Drosophila melanogaster: one gene and its partner. The gene in region 2 interacts genetically with the main gene of each other region. Each region holds a gene or a part of one and is shown on either strand. Other genes may lie near its edges. The genes, in order: VGlut and Mon1.

Region 1 (5,207 bases), 2.5 Mb from region 2:
TAACGTGGCCACAAAACGCGACCATTAGAGATGTAAATGGGGCACATTCTCAGATATATATGTATATGTAGAGCTGTATGGAGTGTATTAGTTTGTTTGCCCTGACAACTGTGATGAAGATGCTCTGGCACTGAGGGGGAGTGGGAGAATGGGGGCTTGTCAGCGACACGACCGCGTCTTCAATGGCAATTCTAATTTCATTTTCACTAGCAAGGATAAAGGAACTCCTTGAGCACTCCCCCAACGAGGCATTTCAATTTCTTCGCGCCGAGTGCCACTCGAGCGCTTCAGCGCCAGGTCCTGTTGGCAATGGATACGGATACGGAAACGGAAACGGCTCGCAGCTCGTAAAAATCAATTTCATTTGCCTTAAGCGCTGCAGCAGCCTTCGTCGGTATGCAACAAATTCCGTAATGAAAGCGATGTGCCACCTATTGTTCCAATTTCTAATTTAGCACTCAAGGTCCTTGAGAAATCAGACGAGGTGTGCCCATCAAATTGCATACCACGACCACACACATTCATCGAGTGTTTGCCCAATATGTCCCAGTGGCACGACTTTATTGCGTTTCGTCCGCAATCGAAGGTGCCGGAGTTGAAGTTCCCGGACACGTGCTGCCAACGTGCCCGGAATTCCTGACGCACCGGTGAGCTCGTCCGCATGCCACTGCGTTCGTTGTCACCAGTGAAAAGTGCCAAGTCCCAAGTCCTTAGAATCCCTATAAACCCCCTCTAATGACTTGTTAAGCATGCCAATAATTTTACAACTTTCCGGGGGGGGCGCGACACGTGCCGAAGTTTCGCGACGCCGGCTAGTCGCCAGTGCGTATCAATATCGGTACATATTTACTGCATTATCCTGGCATGGTCAAGTTCAGCCAACCACGAGCACCGACCATCCTTGCGTTAAATTAAACTCTCTCCCTTTTGTTCTCCGCAGGTCCATTTGATTGCAATCATATTTCATTTCGGGCATATTGCCACCCATCATCGCTGTACACTTGCCAACAAAATGAGGATATATTTTAAATATACATATAGATCTGCTTTCTATGCTTAAATATATCCTCTTGCTGGTAAAAAAAAAAAACCTTTATAAATCTGAATATTCTTTAAGACCCAAACCCTGCTGTCTGGTGTTACTAGAGTATATCATATCACATCGACTCACCCGCCAAACACGCCCGTTGCCTTCTCCTTAAACGCCGTCAGACCCTTCATCTTGCTGCTCAGCTAGTAGTCCTGATTTTCCCAGACGCCTGTCCTCACTCCGCCCCTGCCTCCGGATCAACGAGTCCTGCTCCTGCTGCTGTCCTTTCGCCCAAGTCAGCGTCTGTTGTGCTTCGTTGCCTTTGCGCCGTTATCACTTGGGCGCATAAATATATTTTGTTGCCTACTTCACGGCGGATTGCCGTGTATATAAGCGTAGCGAATCGGCGGCGGTTAATTTCCGTGAAGCCAGCACAAATTTGATGACTCTATTTTCGGGTTGGCTCGTTCTCTCAGCGGGGGATTTTCACTTGGTCGCCATATGATTTCGATTCTCGTGGAGTTTGTGCATTTTCATTTACAGTGCCTGCAAAAGAGATTTGTATGCGGCTATTAATGGGTCCGGCAATTTGTGTTCTGCTGCTGATAAGCAAAAGTCTCGTACAATTTCATCATTTTGCACATTTCTTGTAAGCCGCTTATGTTCATAAATTCACGAGAATTTCGAAATGATTGTGATGAGGGGTAACTACTGAGCCGGCAGAGCATTTTGTAAATATTTCTGGCATTGTGAGCGGTTTTGATAGCGTTTTATGCTTCATTTGGTGTGAGCATGAAATTTGACACCTCTTTTGATTTGGGTAATCTCTTTCGAAAGAGTTAGCAATGTTACGATTATTGGAATTATTAGAATTACAATTTATAATAAGAAAACAAATTCAATGGAAATAATCATAGGTTTTAAGTTTGTGCATTTTTTATACTAGCTTATTTCTTGTTAGATCAGGAATTTCGAAACTAAATGTAAAGTATATATGTACGCATTCTTTGGCGTTTTTCACAAAATTCTTTAGATGATTCCATTGGAAGCTCCTCCCCCAAAACAGTTGTACTTTTGACCTTTGGCCACAACGCCTACTTACATGCCACACCAGAGTTACGTAATCCATTTCGTAGTTGGTGCAAGATTATATAATCGGCCTCTAGTCGTAACTTAAGCACAGATATTTTTGGTGATTAACTTGGCTTAAATTATGTTTTAGTAGACAACGAAAATCGTTTAATTTATTTTGTTGTTGTTGGTTAGGATATCACAAATAAGGTACACAGATAACAGATTATATAGCTTGATTATTCACTACGCGATACGCTGCAAATGGGATAAAAAGGGATATGGAATTAGGTGATTTAATATAATTAGAAGAATTTTTTAAAACAATATATATCTTCTTGGTAATGTGTTAAAATATATCGTTATAGATGTTTTGTATTTATTTATATAAAGTCTCACATTTTCTAAGCAACACTCGCCCGCAAAAATAGAAATGAAACTAAAGTGAAAAACTTAAAACTTTGGATAAACCAATTAAGAACTCAGTATGTGGGACGACAACATCCAGACAGAGTTTGACCACGAGACCGGCGGCAGGTTGTCTATGGAACCGACGACGACGACGAGGACGATGGTGATCCGAATCCAACTCTGTCTGAAGACTGTGTGACGTCCAACTCAAAATCAGCCGCGTTGTGGACCTCCAGCCAAAGATCGGCGGAGGACAGGTGGCAGCGGAAGATGGATACATAAGCTGCCATCGCGGCCTGGAATGTATCACATACAGGGGTATATGTACGGAGGGACTAGTGATGAAGCGAATGTGGGATGGGGTGTTAAAGGGGTGGGAGGAGCGTAGTATATACACTGGAAATTTTCAACCACTGGAATGTGCGAGATTTTCTTTTCAAGGGTATTACGAGGCGTTGCCAGAAAAACGTAGATTTCTCAACTTCTAGCCGGAGGGCAGCACTTTTTCGAAACACTTGCTATATTAGCACGATTATTCGGATATTTTGAACTATATTTTCTGATTTATTGGTATATTTTAGATGTATTTTCCCAGCTATATACCCGCAGCTCCAGGCTCGCTTTTTGGCCTCAGCAGGACAACGCACGAAGTGAAACTAAAAGCGCCCGCATTCGCCTTTCTTGTCTGCCCAGATGGATGTCCTGCCAGAGGATTATGCTCCTCCGCAGCATAATCAACGCATCCGTCCCGTTCGCACCCGCTGTGGTGAAAAGCTCGCGACGCAGGCGACAGCTGCGCAGGCTCGAGAATCCTTCGAGAGTCCTTCGTCCTTCGGCATTGGTTGACGGCGAATGGCAACTGTAGCAGTTGAGACTGGGGACAGCTGTGGGGGAATGGCACGCCACCTGGCCAAAAAGAACCAATCAGAGGTCCTGGTACATGGGAATGTCTTTCTCTGGGTTGGCATGCGAATCTCAGTCGTGCGTGAAATGCTATTAACATGTTGCCAGGCCATTTTCCATTGTTTTCCTCCTGGCACACAGACGTCCTGCGTCCTTCTGCCGCCTTTTTATAGAATGTCAGCCATTTTGAATATTTTCCCCTGTCTGCATGGGGGCTCAAAATAGCTCCAAACTTGGTGAATTTTTGGAAAATGCTACGATTTATGGATGAGCGTTTCAATATGAATCGTGAAGTCTGACCGGCTACAAATAAATAAGTCCTTTGCTCTTGGCTTTGATCGATTCGAATCGGACGTGATGCTTTTTAAATTCTCACGTTTGGGAGCTTGAAATCTATCTAATGGATTATCATTAATTACTGGGCGGTCTAACGGTAAAAAAACATTTGATTCATTTTATTAGAATACTCTAATGGATTTTTCGATCCTAAATTGATCTTATTTAAAACCAAAGCTAGTTGTCTTTTATTAGCCCCAAGAAGCAGAATGATTCGTTTATTATTATTCGTTATTATATTCAAGGAAAGAGAAAAGAATCTCCAGTTCCAAACAACACATATACTTATTAGGCTCAACTCAACTTGAATATTCTCAATGGCCACTTTAAGTAGCTAATAATCCTGGTCAACAGTGTGAGCAACTGCCTCGATTCTCATCAACCACATCGATTCACGGGACAGAAAAAATCCATGCCCCATAGAAATCCCCGCTTCCGTTCGGCGTCCCATTCCAGGATCCCCTCCAGATGTCCTGGCCACGTTGCGAATACGACGCGTTGGCCTAACCCTCATAAGCATAAAGCAAACAGCCAACAAACAGTTGCAACTCAGCCAAAAGCTATAATAAAGTTGCGGAAGTAAACAGCAAAGCGAAATAAACAAGAAGCGGGACGAGGAAACAGCCGAGCTGGGAAATGAAAGGAAAGTCAACAGAACGGCAGCGGGATTTTCGCATTCGAAAGGGATACAGATACATTTGCAGATACAGATACTACGTCTACGGCATGAGCCAGACTTCGGGGCAGACAGATTTCCACAGACAAGACGGCGGCACAATAAAAGCATCTGCGATATTAAATTTCGAAAAATGCCCAATCCGTGCGGCGTTTTACTATTTAAACAAAGCGATTAAGGGTGCGTGGCTAGCGGCTAAAAGCGCCATTCACATTGATTGACGTAAATGAAGAATAATCGAATTGCGAATTGTGCTCATAAAACTCTAAACTAAGTGGCGACGTTGTCGGCCGGATCGAGTGTCAGTCAGTGCCCATCGTGCACAGTGGAAAAAACCGAACATTCAAATTGGTTACAAGCTCAATCTACAAAAGTGCTAGTCAAATATATATATTTTTTAAATTACAATAAGTTCTATATGCATATGAGATTTGCAAGCTATATTCATCTATAATTTCGACAAATTTATAATATTCCTCACTCAAAATGATTCTTTAACACCCACTGTGCTCAAATCGGTAACCTTAGCTGTTGGCCCGCTCTCATAAATTGTCAGCAGAAAAGTGTCAAACTTGAGTTGACAGTCCCCCGGACGGAGTTTCGTCCTGGAATCGGGCGAGGACTTCCGCTGGCCTCCCAGTTCCCATCGCACGTCAGCGGTAATTAGTGCAGCTTCGGCAGAAAGTCGTCTTCAATTTCATTGCGCCAGCGTAATCATCATTATCCTGTTGGGCCTGTTGTGTCCTTATCCACGCGGCGGTCTCCCGTCGTCCTTGCCGC
Region 2 (4,383 bases):
AAGCGCGCAAAAACCGACAGATACACGAGCATTTAACACCCAAAAAATGCGTGGCGCATGTTGAAAAGCTGCTCCGTTTCGAGCAACTTAAATAGGTGGAAACAAAAAACGCCGCGTTTGCATCGTAATTTTCCATTTTATGCTGGGCATTTTCTATCTAGCACCACGCAATTTTCCACATTTTTCACATACTCATCGGTTTTAGCAATTATTTTGTAATTCTTTTCGGTCAGGCACTGGTTCAACTTTGGATTTCCGGTGGCAGCGCCCACAATCGAAGCGTGTGCGTTCGCGTTTGTGTCCTGTACTCAATTGTGTTCTCCGAGCGGTCGGCCAGCACCAGTCACATCGTAATCCTTGCGATTGGGTCGCCGATGCGAGTGCGCGCGTTAAGTTGTTGATTCCGCAAAAGCTCTCTCTGCGATTCCTTTCGCTCTCGAAAGTCCATCCCCGAAGATAACCGGTTTGGTTTGAGTCCGAACTTAAAGGATATGCTGCGCTAGCGGTGACTCGAACCTTTCGACAGAACTCAGTTTTCTATAGATCCACTAAGAGATAAACTATCTATAAAGTTTTAGAATTTACTTAAAGTTTTAAATTACAAATGTACATGCGTGATTCTGGTATACTAGGTTCAGTTAAACAAACGCCGTCACAACTGCAGCACAACAACTTTGTCCTGGTTCGATTGGCAGAGGAGCAATAAAAAAATAGTCATATATCTCACAATGCCCTAGCGAAGCGCGCTAAAGCTTAGAATGTGGCATGGTTTCGTATAAAGTACACGTCGTACTCCTTCTCGATCCACTTGATCAGCTTGTCCACGTACTTGATCACAGTGGCTTTGTCCACAACCGGCTCGAATATGGCGTACAGTTCGTAGGTTCCGGTTGCCCAGGCCAGGACCACCTCGCGCTCCTTCATCTCGTAGATAAGCTTCAGCGGGCGACTACTGTTGTGGATGCGATGCAGCAAGTCGCAGTAGATGGCCTCCAGGCGCTCCAGCTCCGTCAGAGATTTGTACGGATGCCTGAGCATGGGACACAGCAGTTGAGCTGTGCTCTTGGGCTTGTAAAGAAAGTGCCGCAGCTCGGGGATTCCCACAACCTGTTGGTAGAGTTTCGCATTGAACGGCTGCTGCAGCTCCTCGTTGATGGCTTCCAAGCAGTGGCTTTTGCGTAGCTTCTCCGTGATCTTTGCCTTGGCCTCTGCCAGCGTGAAAAAGGCATCTCTGTCCACGGACAGCAGGAGCAAACAGGCCTGGCAATCATCCGCCAGGTACGAGACATGCGCATGCAGATACCCATTCATGTCGAACTTGGGCAGGCAAATTGGTGACCAGTTCTCGGAGCTCTTGAAGGACTCGGAGCACTCTACCAGGTTGAAGATCAGACGCAAATCAGCCGGATGGATGGAGTACTTCTTCATGCGCACCAATGCTATCAGTTTGTTATTGGCAATTAGCACGGCAAACACCAGGTTCTTGATCTTGGAGCAGTTGCTCTGAATGGCGCTGGTGATTTGCGATCGTATCGTTGTGGGCAATGGGAAGACGCGAATTGAGTTGGTCAAAAATGTGAAGATGTTGTTGGACACTAAAAGAAGTCGTTGAGAAATTAAGCAATTTGGATATGCTTAGATATCCTTACCCTTGGCACTACTACTGTCGTTCGCCAACAGATTGTAGAACAATCGTTCGCTGCCGGAGAGCAGTCTCCTCAGATCAAAGTTCTTGCGCCTCTCAAAGATTTTCGTCATGTGTGAATACGTCAGAATGGACAATATTTGATTGTAGACATCCCTGGTAAAGAATGGGAAGTTCCCATTAGTTAGCATTGCTATCAGGTGCGTTATAATTGACTCACCCCAGTTGAAGCTGCAGCTGCTGCACACTCATGTTGCTCCTGCTGGCAGCCACCAGGATGAGCGAGCTGCGTTGCATGAAAGCGAACTTAATGCCGCCCGCATGAATGGAGGTAATAGCATCCTGGCCCATTTGGACGAAGCTTACCAGTGCCTGAATGACACCGAAAAGCGTGGCCAGTTTATCCTCATTGCCGTGTAGCGAGAAGATTGGCTTTCCCGCCTCGCTTAGTATGAAGATGTGTTTCTTTTGGCCCTGCCACAGACTGTCGTGCTGGTAATCGTATTCCTCCTCCAGTCCCCCGCCAATGGAGTCCTCTGTTTTGGCGCTGGTCGAGGTGCTCAATGCCAGAGACTCCACAGAGGCAGCCAGTCCCTTGTTCTCCTGCCCCGGCTCCGGACTGAGGGCACTGTTATCTCGCATGGTGCCCAGGCCATCTCTTAGCTCAGAGATAATACTATGGTTTTGTTGCTCGGCCTCCTGGTCGGGATCCGCCTCTTGATAGAGATTTGGGGACTCCGGATCGCCCTCTGCGTCTAGATACTCGCAGGTGGAGTTCGTGTCCGACCTGACTGACGTCTGCTCTACTTCCATTTCGAATTCGTTTAACTATTTCAGTCGCTGGAACATTGCAGTTTGCCAATATTTAGCAATATCATAAATTTACAACTAAATCATTACAGCTGGAATGGATTTCCCAACACTGTCCGAAGCAGAAGGTGAAATAAAGGGTGTTCCGGAAAACACACCATAAGATAGGCTTATTCATTCTTAAATGTTATGAAAAATAAGTTAATTTGATATATGGATTTTGAATTACTTTATCTTAATAATTATAATTAAATTTTTATATCTGTTATTTTGTTTTTGTTTTAAGACCTCTTATAGAAACACTTCTATCCAACACTACCCACCAGCTGTTTACCAAAATCGACGGAAAAGAAGAAGAACATAGGTTATGAAAACACGAGCCGCTCCAAAATGTTGAGAAAATCGTTTGCCAACCGTAAGTAATCAATTAAAACATCAAGGAAACCAAATTATACATGCTTTCCCTTGGTAGTACCCCGCTTTGGTCAGATGTGCGGTCTGCCACGACGCCTGCAGAGCACACAGCCGGAGCAATCGGTGGAAACGGAACCGGAGGACATCGCCCTGGTGGAACAGCGGATTCTGAAGCATCCGGACTACTTCCAAGTGCACAACCTGTTCACCGTGCGCGACCTCTTCAATGCCCGAGTGCACTATGGCCACAAGGAGGGCTCCCTGGACGACCGAATGCGTCCGTACTTGTTCGGCAGTCGATTAGGTCATCTGATCTTCGATCTGGACAAGACGGCATCACATCTGCGCGATGCCCTCAACTTTGCCGCACACATTGCCTTCCGAGATGGCATCATTCTGTTCTTCAACCGCAACGCCATGAACTCACATCTCGTGGAGCGAAAGGCCCAGGAGGCCGGTGAATTCTCGCACACTCGCTTTTGGCGCGGCGGCATCTTTACCAATGCCAATGTGCAATTCGATGCGGTCACCAGGCTGCCCGATCTTTGCATTTTCCTCAACACTCAAAACAACGTTATGGCTCAGCACACGGCGGTTCGGGACGCCGCCAAAATGGCCATACCAACGATTGGCATAGTGGACAGCAATTGCAATCCCAACCTGATCACCTATCCGGTGCCCGGCAACGATGACTCGCCGGCCGCAGTGGAGCTCTATTGCAACCTCTTCAAGGAAGCCATACTGCGTGGCAAGCGGGAACGACGCCAACTCCTTGGCCTTCCGCCTCTGGACGAATCCCAGCCGCGGCGCAGTCGCAAAACTAAGTAATAGCCAAGTAGTAGTGTCAAGTTGATTTTGTTACATTTATCTTAATACAAATGCCAATGGCCGTCAATCCACGATGAAGAAGAAATTGCTAAATATGGTTGCAAAATTGCAGAACTTTGTGCATGTGCCATGCTATTTGATAGTGTTTAAGAAAACCCACGACCTGGGTTAGTTTCGGATAGCTATTCTAGGGCGGCAGCAGAGTGGCACCCTTGACAAAGTTGTTGCTGTAGTGGCTGAAATACGAGGGATTGGAGTTGGACCCCGTGTTGTTGGAACTTCCAGAGGGCCAGTAGTTGGTAATCTGTGGTGGGGTGTCAGGTGGCGGCGGAGGCGGCGCTGAGGTACCAATGATGGAGAGATCCGTACCGCCTTTGATGGCACGGCCGGGACCGAAGAACGTATCCATTTGCTGCTTCTTGAAATCATGCATCGACGCAAAACCATTCGGCGGCCTCTCCTTGGACATGTCCCACGAGCCGATGCTGGATGACTTGCGCACGAACACTTGGCCCTTTTCATTCTTGTCCTGCTCCACCCAGCGCTCTGCATGCTTCACCGTCAGCATCGCCTTGTGCGCAACTATATACTCCTCGGCCTTCTGTAGTCGTTCCAGTTGCTGCTCGTCCAGCTGGTCGCGCGGCAGCTTCCCCAAACGCTGCACCGTTCGCTTCCAGTTGTGGAAC

What was found.
Region 1: of Mon1 (region 2) and VGlut, changing one suppresses a phenotype caused by changing the other (phenotypic suppression), as found in Drosophila melanogaster (one study listed by BioGRID).

The regions. Positions count from the first base shown.
Region 1 is NT_033779.5:2,398,259-2,403,465, reverse strand, and holds the start of VGlut (vesicular glutamate transporter), read right to left. Parts: upstream 3,172-5,207; 5' UTR 3,116-3,171; intron 2,716-3,115; exon of another isoform or gene 2,501-2,715; intron 2,360-2,500; 5' UTR 2,133-2,359; intron 1,577-2,132; 5' UTR 1,222-1,576; coding exon 1,172-1,221; intron 1-1,171.
Region 2 is NT_033779.5:4,848,826-4,853,208, reverse strand, and holds Mon1 (monensin sensitivity 1), read right to left. Parts: upstream 2,569-4,383; 5' UTR 2,459-2,568; coding exon 1,866-2,458; intron 1,802-1,865; coding exon 1,650-1,801; intron 1,596-1,649; coding exon 754-1,595; 3' UTR 569-753; downstream 1-568. Other genes in the region: mRpS2 (mitochondrial ribosomal protein S2), read left to right, coding at 2,846-2,870, 2,928-3,697; CG11927 (uncharacterized protein), read right to left, coding at 3,885-4,383. UniProt on the Drosophila melanogaster protein: Part of the Mon1-Ccz1 guanyl-nucleotide exchange factor complex specific for Rab7 that promotes the exchange of GDP to GTP, converting Rab7 from an inactive GDP-bound form into an active GTP-bound form.